2 linked regions of the Drosophila melanogaster genome follow. The protein of the gene in region 1 purifies or fractionates together with the protein of each later gene. This does not show direct contact. Each region holds a gene or a part of one and is shown in the gene's direction. Other genes may lie near its edges.

What was found.
Region 2: the proteins of dos (region 1) and Acn purify together in Drosophila melanogaster (affinity purification with mass spectrometry, with the first as the bait; one large-scale study listed by BioGRID). This does not show direct contact.

Annotation. Positions count from the first base shown.
Region 1 is NT_037436.4:2,587,882-2,595,462, forward strand, and holds the start of dos (daughter of sevenless), read left to right. Parts: upstream 1-1,532; 5' UTR 1,533-1,605; coding exon 1,606-1,671; intron 1,672-2,320; exon of another isoform or gene 2,321-3,732; intron 3,733-4,280; coding exon 4,281-4,605; intron 4,606-4,671; coding exon 4,672-5,438; intron 5,439-5,506; coding exon 5,507-5,618; intron 5,619-5,679; coding exon 5,680-5,920; intron 5,921-5,983; coding exon 5,984-6,584; intron 6,585-6,640; coding exon 6,641-7,165; 3' UTR 7,166-7,581. Other genes in the region: RpL8 (ribosomal protein L8), read left to right, coding at 1-9, 203-835. UniProt on the Drosophila melanogaster protein: Essential component for signaling from various receptor tyrosine kinases such as Sevenless, TORSO and DER. Required for photoreceptor cell and wing development.
Region 2 is NT_033779.5:19,043,560-19,049,317, forward strand, and holds Acn (acinus), read left to right. Parts: upstream 1-1,795; 5' UTR 1,796-2,007; coding exon 2,008-3,488; intron 3,489-3,592; coding exon 3,593-3,803; intron 3,804-3,860; coding exon 3,861-4,095; intron 4,096-4,156; coding exon 4,157-4,266; intron 4,267-4,354; coding exon 4,355-4,537; 3' UTR 4,538-5,258; downstream 5,259-5,758. Other genes in the region: Ttc19 (tetratricopeptide repeat domain 19), read right to left, coding at 61-324, 377-524, 595-758, 811-1,344; CG10470 (uncharacterized protein), read left to right, coding at 5,616-5,676, 5,728-5,758.

The DNA of each region.
Region 1 (7,581 bases):
GTTGTCAAGGTGAGTAACGTGCTCCTAGGATCACCAACTACACCTATCCGTTTAATGTGGATGAGATCACTTGCATTTGGCCATGCCACATTCAAGAGACGTGCTTGAGCACCTGTGCCAGCTTACTAGAAGTTACTTAGCTCACTTGGCTTAACTGCTTTTGAAGTGTAACTAAGCGAATCGTACTTCTTCCATGTTTCAGGACATCATCCACGATCCCGGCCGTGGCGCTCCTCTGGCCGTCGTCCACTTCCGCGACCCCTACCGCTACAAGATCCGCAAGGAGCTGTTCATCGCCCCCGAGGGCATGCACACCGGCCAGTTCGTGTACTGCGGCCGCAAGGCCACCCTTCAGATCGGCAACGTGATGCCCCTCAGCCAGATGCCCGAGGGTACCATCATCTGCAACCTGGAGGAGAAGACCGGTGATCGCGGCCGTTTGGCCCGCACCTCTGGCAACTACGCCACCGTGATTGCCCACAACCAGGACACCAAGAAGACGCGTGTCAAGCTGCCATCCGGCGCCAAGAAGGTCGTGCCCTCGGCCAACCGCGCCATGGTTGGCATCGTCGCCGGCGGCGGTCGTATCGACAAGCCCATCCTGAAGGCCGGTCGTGCCTACCACAAGTACAAGGTGAAGCGCAACAGCTGGCCTAAGGTGCGTGGTGTGGCCATGAACCCCGTGGAGCATCCTCACGGTGGTGGTAACCATCAGCACATTGGTAAGGCCTCCACCGTCAAGCGAGGCACATCCGCCGGTCGCAAGGTCGGTCTCATCGCTGCCCGTCGTACCGGTAGGATCCGTGGTGGCAAGGGCGACAGCAAGGACAAGTAAGCTCTGGCTGCAGCAGGATTCCGGCGTGGCGCAGGTTCCGCCTGAGATCTGGGTAGTGGTCGTGCTCTGCTGTGCGGCGTCGTGGAAGAAATTGCTATTCTACATGGATAATCTGTATGTTCTAGGCATACGCTTGACACGGCAGAATAAAACGTATTTGTAAAACTATACTTCGTTTGCATTTAAAGTTTTTAAGATTTTAGTTATTAGCTTTTGTTTGGATTTATTATGCTGATTTATTAGGTAAATACTTATGTTATCTGCAAATTCTTGTTTTCAAACAAAGAAATACTTGTGTTTTTTGAAATATGTATACATATTTTATATGGGCTATTTGTGGACTTATTTTTAAAATACTAGATTGAACACGTTTCATATGGCAACCAAAAAAGGTTTTGTTTTGTTTTTTACAAGATTGTAAATACTTAATTTTTACAACTCAAAATTATAAATAGTGCCAGTGTTGGGTAATGTCAACTACGGTCACACTAATCTAAAACAATTTGAAGCAAACGGTATATTACACTAAGTTCAAGTTTTGAAGCAATGGGGCTTACACCAAACAAATATATAAATAATAATAACTTTCCGCCGAATATAAGCGTTCGCATCTTTTATTTCGATATATCTTAGACTTAGCTTAAGCCTATCGAATACTTATTCGATATTGCCTCGGAAGATCTATCGCAAGCGTGAGGCCCACCTCTAGTTGGTGTGCGCGGAGTGGAGTGAAATAAATCGAAGTAAATTGCGTCGAGCGCTGCAAAATAATGGATCGCACTTTCTACGAGGGCTGGCTAATTAAGTCGCCGCCCACCAAGCGCATTTGGCGAGCAGTAAGTTTCCGAAAATGGAAAAACGTAGGCTTTCGAAAACCTGAGCGTGTGTGCGTGTGTGCAAGTGCTAAGGAATTTTCCTGGAAACCCCAGCTCAAAACGAAATCAAAATGAAAATTCTGATCCAATCAAATCAGAAATGTCCACTGATTAGTGAAATGTGCAAAGAAAAGAGAGTCGCAATTGGCTAACGGTAAACTTGAAGCCGGAAGAGAAATACCGCAATCTTTGTCCATCGATTGACTCACGAAAATGATAAAAAAAAACGATGGATAATGGAAGTGGCATTTTTTTACAATTACGCTAAGCCTGTATTGGTGCCTGCCTCAGTGTGTGTGGGTTTGTTTGGCGTTGTTGTTTGTGGTATGATTTAATTCATTATTAAGCCGAGGGATTGCAATTCCAGTATTCCAGTTGATTGGAATGCAAACAAGTTGAAAACCGCAGCAGAAATTGCAAAATGTGAATGAATTTACGATGGCTTCCTCTGCGTTTTTCCCTCTCTCTCTCTCTGTCTCTCTCCCCACCACCCTCTCCGTCACCCAGTTTCTTTCTGTTTATGTTTGCTTTTGGCGTGGGAACGTGTTTTTTTCTTTTGCCCTGGTCTAAATTTACGCTTAATTAATTTTTCGTTTAATGTTTACTTTAGGGAGCCGTTCGTGTATTAAATTTCCGCCAACTGTTGCGTTTAATCAAATTTACTTGCCCCGTATTTCGTGTGTGCATGTTTTTTATGCGCATATGTGCTTGTTTTTGCTTTTTTATGTGCACGGACGATAAGCCGGATCAAGCACAAAACAATGTGCAACAACAGCAACATAAACTACCGACGATGACCAAAAAAACAATGACGCACTTGTCTTTCCAGCTCCTTGTTGTTGTTGATTTTGCCTATGCTAGAGATGCGCTGTTGTAGTGTCAGCATAATAATTTTTATTTACAGTCCATCATAATGTATGACTTATTAGATTTTTGGATTAATTATTTTTTAAACATTTAGGGGATGAATAGTTGAAAAGTATGTTTGCTTATATTATTAAATATAAATAGAATGATTTGCTCAGACAAATAAATTTTACTGGATTTTAAACTAGTAAAGCTAAAATATAGAAGTTCTCCCTCAGGAGTTCGTGACACGACACTCTGTAGTGTGCCCATCTCTAGAGCGTTCATTTGAAACCACTTATAATGGATACGACAGTTCCAAGAACACCCAAACCGTTGATCAAAAGGTCTGCAGCACAGAATTTTCAGTTACAGCAAACCCACTTTATGGTTTCACTGTACTCAATTTGTTTGCTTATGTTGAGGCGTGCAATAGCGTCCAAAATGGTAGTATTCAATCACACTATTTTGAAAACTGCTTAAGATTATACAATATAAATTAAATAACTAACCTCTTGACATCAAACTTCGTACAAAATATGGAATATTTTGTTGTAAAGGTTTACAGCAGCTATCTAATTTTAAAAACAACCCTTTCCGGCGCGTTAAAAGTAAACAAATTTAGAAACATTTTAAAAATAGAACCTTTGCCCGCACATTTTCGTTTGCGTTTCTAATATCTTGAGCGCCATTGTATAAACAAACTCTAATGATGCCTCGAGAAAATGAGCTGCGTATTTCCAGCGCCTCGGGGTGCCAATTTCTGGCCTGTGTGCGGCATTATGTTTATTGTTTATAATTCAATTAAGCTTGATATTATACAGTCCGAAAAAAACCATCCATTATCAGCTGGAGTTTTACGTTTTCAGCGGGTTCCCGAACCTCTCAGCTGTTAATTTCTTAACCGCTTAACGGTAACGTGGGCGGGGGTGTTATTTCTGTGTGTGTGTCTGCTGATTACCCAAGAAAATGCCAATGCAAAATATGATTCGCGGAAAAGCAGCGCCGCTGCAGTCTCTGTTGACTCGGGCTTCATCACCCGCTTACTCACCAGCAGTGATAGTGTACTCAGTCGTTGAGCTGATCAGCCGTACCCTACCCTCATATCAACAACCGGAGTCCATCGCTCAGTAAGGGTATCTTAATCCAGAACGGAGACATCGGTACACTCGCGTAGTACGTTTATATATAGCTAAACTACTGCAAGATATAGTATAATTAGAGATAGACTTAAAGAAAGCCTTGGCGTGTCGCAAATTCTAGAAAATTTGCTAATGATTCACTATATTCTAATCATAAATACCGCATTATCAGATCTCTAGGAAAATTACATTTTTGATGCGTAAATGATATTGTAAGCATCAAGATTGTTCATTTGCTCTTCGCCCTGATGAGTAACTACCTGATGAAGTTAGTCATCACTATTCAGGCATCTTAGTACAATTTGTAACAGTGTAATCTTGTTTAATATTCTCAGACTCTTTGCAAAAGAAGCAATATCTACAAATCTCATTTTGGGGGAATTTTTGACTTTGTTGAATTGTTTTGCTACAAAAAAACAAAGACAGTTTATCGTGTGATATTTGCAATTCCACGACCCATTTAACATATGTCGCTATGAAGGAATCTTGTGTGTGTAATGGCATAGGAGAAATCACTATTGCTTTTCCAACTGTACGCCTCGTTGCAACTCTTAACGCCTTGTTTCCAAATTATCTTTGTAGCGCTGGAGGCGTCGCTACTTCACGCTGAAGCAGGGCGAGATACCGGAGCAGTTCTGCCTCGAATACTACACCGACCACAACTGCCGCAAGCTGAAGGGCGTTATCGATTTGGATCAGTGCGAGCAGGTGGACTGTGGCCTGCGGCTGGAGAATCGCAAGCAGAAGTTTCAGTACATGTTCGATATCAAGACGCCCAAGCGCACCTACTACCTGGCTGCTGAGACGGAGGCGGATATGCGCGACTGGGTGAACTGCATCTGCCAGGTGTGTCACCTACACGACACAAAGCAATCGAATGAGTTGCCATTAGGAGCTGTGGGTGCAGGTGAGTGTCCGCAAGCCCATGTCCAAAGAACCCCTTCTTAAGTTTTTCTTTTCTTGCAACACCCAGACGAAAACCGCACCCAACACACGAGCTCCAGTGGCGGTCTAAGCAACTCCACTCAAAATACGACCACCACATCGTTGCACTCGTCGGCCGGAACCACAGCGCCTCAGGCTTCGGTCCCAAATGCTGGAGGATCTGCCCAGCTGCGACGACCGGCGGTCATTGAAGAGCAACCGATGCCCTCGAATGCCGGCAACAATAACTCAGACTCGGTGTATGTCAACACGGAGTACAGCAATCGCGAGACGATGCTCTGCGATGCCAATTTCGATCAGCAGGAACTGCTCTCGGCTGCCCAGCAGCAACCGCCTCCATCGCCGGCCACGGCTCTTTATCTAAACCACAGTGCTTTGATCCAAGCTCAGGCGGCAGCTGCAGCCGCCGAGCAACTGCAGCAGCAGCAGCAACAAGCTGCTCGCTTGGCGGTCAGTGCCAACGGAGTAGTGCGCAAATTGCCGGAGCATCTGGTGCTCACGCAGCAGACCCTGGCGGAGGCAGCTGCCCAGCAACACAGCAGCGTACAGGCTTCACCCGCTTTGAGCACCGCATCCGGACCGTACATACCCATCAGCGAGTGCTTCTCGGGCAGCCCGAGATTCCTGCCCGGCGTTCCACTGCCCGGCGCAGATTTGGCCATACCAAACAACCCCACCACGCCGTTGAACAACTTGGATCCCAAGTTCTACGATACGCCGCGTAGTCATAATAACATAGGTCTAAATCTGACCAACGATCAATCCTACTCACCGAAGATAACCAATTTGAGTCTGGTAAGTTGATAGCGATAACGATGCGCGTCAAGCATTATTTATAATTAATTATCATGTTGGCCTTTCAGCAACAATTGGCCAATAACAATGCTAGTAAACAACGCTCCGACTCCGATTCGGAAAGCGTTTTCACCGATGACGATGAGTGGGCTCATCCTTTGCCACTGCGCGAGAATGTGGGTAAGTACTCAAAAGGCAAATATCAAAGCGAATTCTCGTAGTAAACAAAGATTTCTCACAGATCGCAGTACCCGACCTTCGGATAGTTCCATTGAAAACGAATCATTCGTGCTAACGTACTCGCAGCGATTCTCTAAAATGCCCGAGGAAGGAGGAGCGATCGTGCCACCAGCTGAAAAGAGTTCCAAGCTAGCAGGAGCAGCATCTCTGCCAGAGGCTGGTGACCAGGGAACGCTGGATAAGCTGGCCAAGGTGCTGAAGAACAAAAATAATCTCATATTGGACTTTAAGGAGAATGAAAAGTGAGTTAACACACACTCAATTCAATTTTAAACGGCCTACTAAATCATCCTGCGCATTGACAGAATTCCTCGCGATCTGCCGCAGCTGTCGGATACGGAAAATACTTCGCCGGCCATTGTGGCCCGCCGCAACGCGCACTCCGCTTTCATCGAGGAAAGCTATGACATTCCAAGGTCCCACCAGCAGCCTTACTACAACGTCAACCAGCTGCTGGGCGAGCGACCAGTCACCAGCCCGCACAATTCCAATCCCATTGCAGCATCCACACCGAATCTCATGGCGGCCGATCTGGGTGCAGTGGCCGCAATTTCAGCGGCAGCGAATCCCGGCCTGATGGGTGAGGCACAGGCAGTCGCATCATCGCCCACCAGTGCGCGCACATTGCCTCGACACTGCTACACCAATGCAGCTCCCACAAAGATGGAGGGCAATGTTTTTCGATACGACTTCATGGAGCAGGCGGACTGCCCGCCGGTTAACCGGAAACTTAAGCCAAAGGTGGCGGGTGGATTGCCAGTTGTAGAGGACAAACCGCCGGAGGAGTTTCCTGCAAAGCCCCCGGTGGGCGTAGATCAGTTAACCAATAAACTGGGTGCAGCCCAACTGCAGCAGCCCATTGGACCGCCCAGTGTGGACAGGAAGTGCAAACCGAATGCCTATAAGGTGAGTGACAAACGTTGTGCACACCCATATTCAATTTACTAATGACTTCTTTTTAGTTGGGCAATTCGGCTACCATGTCGCCGGCAACGCGACGTTCCTCCGGTGCCCCTCTCTCAATGGTGCTGCCGCATGAAACGGATGTACACTCCCCGGCGGCAGCCAACGCCTTCTTTCACGAGACCCGCACCCTGCCTCGCCAACAGCATCGGCATCATCCGAACAGTCCCGGCAGCATGTCGGTACAACATCAGCGCACCGCCTCCGCAGCGGCTGCCATGATGAGCTTGACGGCAGCAGCTGCTCCCAAGCAGCAAGCGGCGGCGCAGACTGAGCACAAGCTGCAGTACTTTGATCTGGATGTGACCAACAAACCGCCATTGCTAAATCGATCCAGCATGAGTGTGGGGAATCTGTACTCACAAGGCGGAAATGGAGCTAGTGGAATGCGATTCGCAGGCGTCGAAGCTGGCGGAGCTCGAGCGCCAGTGCCTAGCAGCGTGGTCTATAGATCCGTGGACTTTGTCAAGACGGAGGCATTTAAGAGGATTCGAGAGGAGCGCGAGAGCAGCGGCAACAAGTGAAACTGCTGGTTCAGCTAAATGAAATCATATCTCCAGTACATCTACTTGTCAACGTGCAATAGCAAAGGAAGGACCATGTTGCTGATCCGAGATTTTCGTAGTGCCTATTGGTGGTCAGCTGAGGAGAGCTGACCCCATCCAAAAACAGTGCAAATTTCGAGTGGCTTTTACATTCGTTAACATCGTCAAATTCATTATTCATTAAACCACATATCTAGCTTGTAAGACGGCACCAGCATTTCTGTGTGCTGTTTTGAATCTGTAATCTGTAACCCGTATCTGAATCTATGTCGTATTCGTATTTAAATCGTGCTTCCAACACTTCCATGTTTATTGTTAAGCTTCGGAATCAAAATGTAACCATGACAAACGATCTTAGTGCTAATTTTACAATGCAAACAATTATTTTATATACG
Region 2 (5,758 bases), on another chromosome or scaffold:
GTGCTTCACTTCGAAATGAAATTTTTATAAATAGTCAAAATTACACTGTAAAAAGAATCCTCACTGGCGCTTCTCTCCATTCAGGGTTGTCTTTATCTCGTTGAGACAATACTCGGCCTGCTCTACGGCATCGGGATTCTGGTGTTGCTTTCCCAGTTTCCACGCCAGTCGGCAAGCGTTCTCCGCCTGCGACATCAGGCCCTCGCGAAGATACACCAAACCCAGATTTGCCTGCAGAATGCCTTCCTGGGTGGCATCCTTTAGCTCCTTAGTCAGCTCCATGGCCTCCAAAAGGGTCTCCCTTGCCTCGGCGTACTTTTCCAGCTGTAATTAGTCTAATGTGTTTCAAGTACTTTGGAAGAATAGACGCACCTACGTTTACGTACGCCACACTGATGTTATTTAGGATGGTTACAGAGGCGTCGTTAACGGCACCATAAACATTTATGAGCGTGTCGAAGGCCTCCTTAAAGAGGTTTTTAGCCTCCAGGTATTTTCCCTGCTTCATCAGCAGCTGCCCGAACCTGGAAAATAAACATAAGGAAAAGTATTGAAAAAAGGCTTGGTTAGCGGCAATGGAAACACCTTCAATACCAATTCTTTGTCAAGCCATACAGCTCCAGTATGTCCTTGTCGTCGGGCATTTTCTCCAGTAGCTTAGCCAACTGCTGCAAGGTCCAAGTGAACCCTTGAAAGCTCTTTTCCAGATCCCCTTGCAGCTGAGACATGTGTGCTATCTTGGAGCTGATGTGAAGTATCTAAAGATGAAAGAGATCTTAACTGGTTATGGTGTCTAAGTGGGTCACCCACCTTGGGACTCTCTTCGGTGTGACCCTCGGCAAAAAGCCGTTTCATAACGTCCGTGAATATCTTCTCCGCCTTCTTAAACTGCTCGCGTTCCATGGCCAAATTGGCCATCAGATCAAACACATATGTGATGCCGTCCTTGCTCTGAATATCCTGCGCCATTCGCAGAGCCAGGTGAAGCATTTGCTCGGCCTTGTCGTACTGTTCCCTCTGAATGCACAGGATTGATCGTTTGATGGTCTTGATCAGTTTTTCCTCCGGAGTTTCCTCTTTTTCGTCGGCGCCACCAAACAGATTCAGAGTGAAAGCAGCGGAAAATGCCCAAAACATTCCACCGGAAGAGCCAGAAGCGGGCGGAGCTGCCCAGGACACCTCGTAGCCCGCAGCATTGGAGCACAGCGGTCGACATCCGAATTCTGACCGTTGGTGATAACGGCTTCTCTTCAGCGGCGCAAGATGACAGTAATCTCTGGGATTCACGACAACGCGGAACCTGCCCATAACTTGCGTAAACTTGCAAATATTTCTCACTAACATGTTTAGGGCTTTATTAATTATTTAACTAAAACCTATAATGTTGCAGGTATGGTATTAAAAATTATGAAATAGCACGTATGTAGTGTTGCAAAGCGCGGTAAAGACGTTTTAAAAGTACATTTCGTAACGCTTGATTAAGAACATAGAAGACTTTTAAATAATTTCTACTCTATCATACTTTCGCAAATATATTTATGTTTCGTTAAGATTTCGTAAACAAAGGTTTTTAAATTTTTTAGAGATGACACTGTCAAACAAAACTTTATCGGCAACTTTGGTACCTAACATTTCGTTCATAAGTTAAATCTGCGAACAAAAATAAATTGATAAGTAGAGTTATTAACAATCTCGAATAAAAAACATTTAAGTACATTTGATAAAGTTTTTCGTAATAAGGTACTTCCTTCCCCCATCGCATACGATACTATCGATAGCCGTCAGCGGGGCGATAGACCGAGAGAAAGCATCCCTGTATATTGATGGCGGATTGACGCTCTTTCGCCTAGTAAAATTATTTTTCTTATCAAGAAAAGGTGCAGAATATAACGAGGAGTGAATTCGCAAAGCAGTGCATGAAATAGCTGTGGGTCCGCCGGCTGTACCTACGTTTTATTTCAGATCTTTCCAGCGTCGCAGCGAGTTTCCAGCGATTTTCGGACAGCCATGAGACGTCGCAGCGAGCGAAAAAAGTCGTCGTCGCCCGCTCCGGTGCCGGTGGCAGTTGCACGGAGAAGTCGCCGCTCCCGCAAGGTGTCGGAGAACGAGAAGACCGAGGTCGAGACTCCGGTCGTGGCCCAAAATAATGAGGCCGAATGCCCCAAAGTACCGCCAGCCTCTCAAGAAATCAATGAGGCGCGGGCATCCAGTGAAGAACGTGCCGGATCTGGAGCATCGCCAGTGCGCAGGAGTCGCGGCAGCCGGACGACGCCTAGAAAGCGCACGGAGTCCAAGGGCGGCGACAAGAAGGTGGACACCATACCCGAGGAGGAGCCGGAGAATGGAAAGGATGTTGAAAAGGACGCTGTCGAGGAGGAAAAGACTGTAGCGCCACCCGCGGCTAATGAGAGCGAGTCCGAGGACCGTGCCAAGACGGAGGATCAGCAGGCTCAAGACGATGAATCCTGTGCTGAACCCGCTGTAGTCAAGGATGATGATGTTGAGAAAGAGGACTTAAAACCGCAGCAGGAGGTCCCCACTTCCACTGATGATGACACCAAGCAGAGCGAGCCAGAACAAGAGGTAAAGGTTCCTTCTCCTTCCAGCAAGGATGAGGAACATCTAAAAACGACTAGTGATGTATTAGACATTCAGACAGAAGAGGTCGATGAAAGGGACGAAGAAGCCTCCGCTCCTGCGGAGCGCAGAGAAACCAAGAAGAGGCACAAGGAGCAGATAAAGGAACAGCAACCCGCAGAGGAGGAGGAACACAAGGAAAACCACAAGCAGATAGACGAAAACCCAGAACAAATTCACGATGAACCAGCAGATCTTTCGAACGACAAGCACGATCCATGTCTAAACAGCAGCGCAACCAACACAACCGGTGCTCCAGTTCTGCAGCAACAACGGTCGGTGCGGAAGCGAAAGTGGCTGACTAACAAAAAGTCTTCGGATCGTACCCCGCCCGTGCTTGCCATTTCGACGGATTCCCTGAAGAACATTATAGCCGATGTGGTGCAGCCAGTGCCCCTAAGCGATGTGCAACTGGAATCGTCCTCAGAGGAGGAAGGCCTGGTCACCAGCGATCGCGATTCAGAGCGATCTGCTTCACCGGCGCCCCCATCTGAAGCAAGCAAAGACCGCGATAACAAGGGCAATACCGCCAACACCTGCGACACCACCGCAGAGGCGTCGGCAGATAATGAAGGAGCAGGAGCCGCTCCTCCAGCAGCAGCAGACACGGTTTCAGCCCAGGTCAGCCTGAGCAAAGCCACAGTTTCCACGGCAGCACCACACATAGTCCGTGACCCTAGTCCTGCTCGAAACCGCGCCAGCCACGTGCTCTATATCACCAATTTGGTACGCCCCTTCACAGTGCTGCAGCTGAAAGGCCTGCTGGCGCGGACGGGAAAGATCGTTGAGGAAGATGGTTTCTGGATAGATCGGATCAAGTCTAAGTGCTATGTTGCCTATTCCACTGAAGAGTAAGTATTGTAGTTGCGCAAATAGAACCTAATCTCCAGGGAGTCAGTGAAATATGCCTATAAAAAACTCACACTTGCAATTATTTTGCTTTTCAACCTTTAAGCGAGGCCATCGAAACCCGACATGCCCTGCACGGAGTTCGCTGGCCAGTGTCAAATCCCAAATGTTTGAATGTAGATTTTGGCAGTCGCACTGATATGGATCGGGCAATACTTTCAACGAAGGACGAGGCTCCGAGGTACGGGCAGGAAAACACCAGAGATAACCAGCAGTCGGGCAACGCTTGGTCCCGGTTGGAACCGTCTGACAAAAAAGTAATGGATTATTATCACAGCATAGAAATGCGGAGCTAACTTGTCTTTTTCCTTCAGCCTGCGCGACCTGTACGCGAATGGGATGTTGGCAAAAAGGAACCAAGCGACCACGACAAACACAGCAACGACAGGCGTCGGGACAGCAAGGATCGACTGGACTCGAGGTCTAGGGATGCGGAGCGAGCCGGACAGGAACGAAAGCGTTCTAGGGACAGAGAGGGGCGAGGACGCGATCGGGAGCGGGAGCGACTTGATCGCAATGCACATGCAAGGAGCCGCAGTGGATCGCCAGGTAAAGCCCGTGGGATACATTTTCCTGTCATGAGAAATTCAAAAACACCCCGTTTAAATAGCGTCCAAAACTAAGAAGGAGAATGAACCGCCTATCAGACTACTAGATGATCTATTTCGAAAAACCAAGGGAACACCTTGCATATACTGGCTGCCACTTACGCCGGAAGCGGTAAGTTGCTGAGATAAATAGTTCCAATCAACGAGAATCACTTCTAGACCAAGTCCGCCTGAACAATAAAATTTCTTCCGGCTTTCAGATCGCAGAAAAGGAGGCATTCCGTCAGAAACGCATTGAGGAGCACAAGCTGCGTATTAAGGAACGGGAGGAGCGCCAGAAAGAGCGGGAGAAGGATCGTGACCGCCAGCGCGAGACGCGTCGCAATCGTTCCAACGAACGGCGACGATCTCGCAGTCGCGAGCGGGAGCGAAGACGTTACTAGGCGGAGGCTTGAGATTGAGCAAATAAATGTTGATATCTCAAAAACTAAATCAACATATAAAAAAAAACTTCAAGAAACAGCAACTAAAACTTCAGCAGGGTCTCATCACCACCCGAATAATTTCAATTCTTTTCTTTCGAGCGTTTTGCGTTCCCAATTAGGCCGACGTTTGTAATATTCAACTTGAACTGAACCGACTTCAAATTGAATACTTTCGCCAACGTCTCATCCACATTCTGATTTTGAGATTTCAAACTCTCTTTTCTTCGTTATTTTTCTCATTGTTGTTGTTCCATATATATATAGCATATATATTTCCATATATATATATATAACCTGATTTGATTTCTTTCCTCAAATGTAGCATTTTACAGCGCCTAACGTCACCTCACCCCAAAACGAAACCACAGCAACCAGAAATGCGCCGGCATCAGATCAGCATCAACGCCATGGAAACTTACCATCGGACTCTTGAAACTACTGCAGCAAGTTACCATGCTTATATCTATTCAATAAACAAACATAAAATAATTGATTAAAATATTGTAAAATCAAATATTTCTTAAAATTTTAATGAACTTAGAAATACAATTTAACATCAGTCGGCAAGCTTGTGACAATGCCAAAACCCAAAAATGTGTTTTAAATGTCTGAGAAATATGCTTATCGCACGACTTATTCGAACAGAAAAAGAAAAGAATGTAATTCCTCAAAATTATAGAAAATGTTTTTGATTCGTAAGAATCATGGTATTTAGAGCATATTATTATAATTTTAATACTCTTTAATTTATATATAAGGTCAGATTTATAAAGTATGAACTTTTTGCCATTTATTTACTTTTCCTTATCAATTTTTAGTAAAAACACTGCTTTTATTAATAATCGCGAGTCTAATTTATTGATTAAACTTAAAAAAGAATAAATGAAGTTGTCCGTTAAAGTACCAGAATACCCCCAACAATAAGTTCGTTTTAATCGATAGTCCATGTTAATAAGCTATCGGAGCCGCTTAATGATTTATGTCAATAGTGCTATCGATGAGTTTTAATTTGTATTAACATTAATTTAGTGAAAAAATGTGGTCCGACACAATATTAATTGTTTTTATATCGGTTTGCACCGCCTTCCTGGGCGAAGGTAAGTAAAACGCCAGTTAATTTAGTTAACCCTACATATTTGTTTGCCTAGGTCTTACATGGGTGATGGTTTACCGGACGGA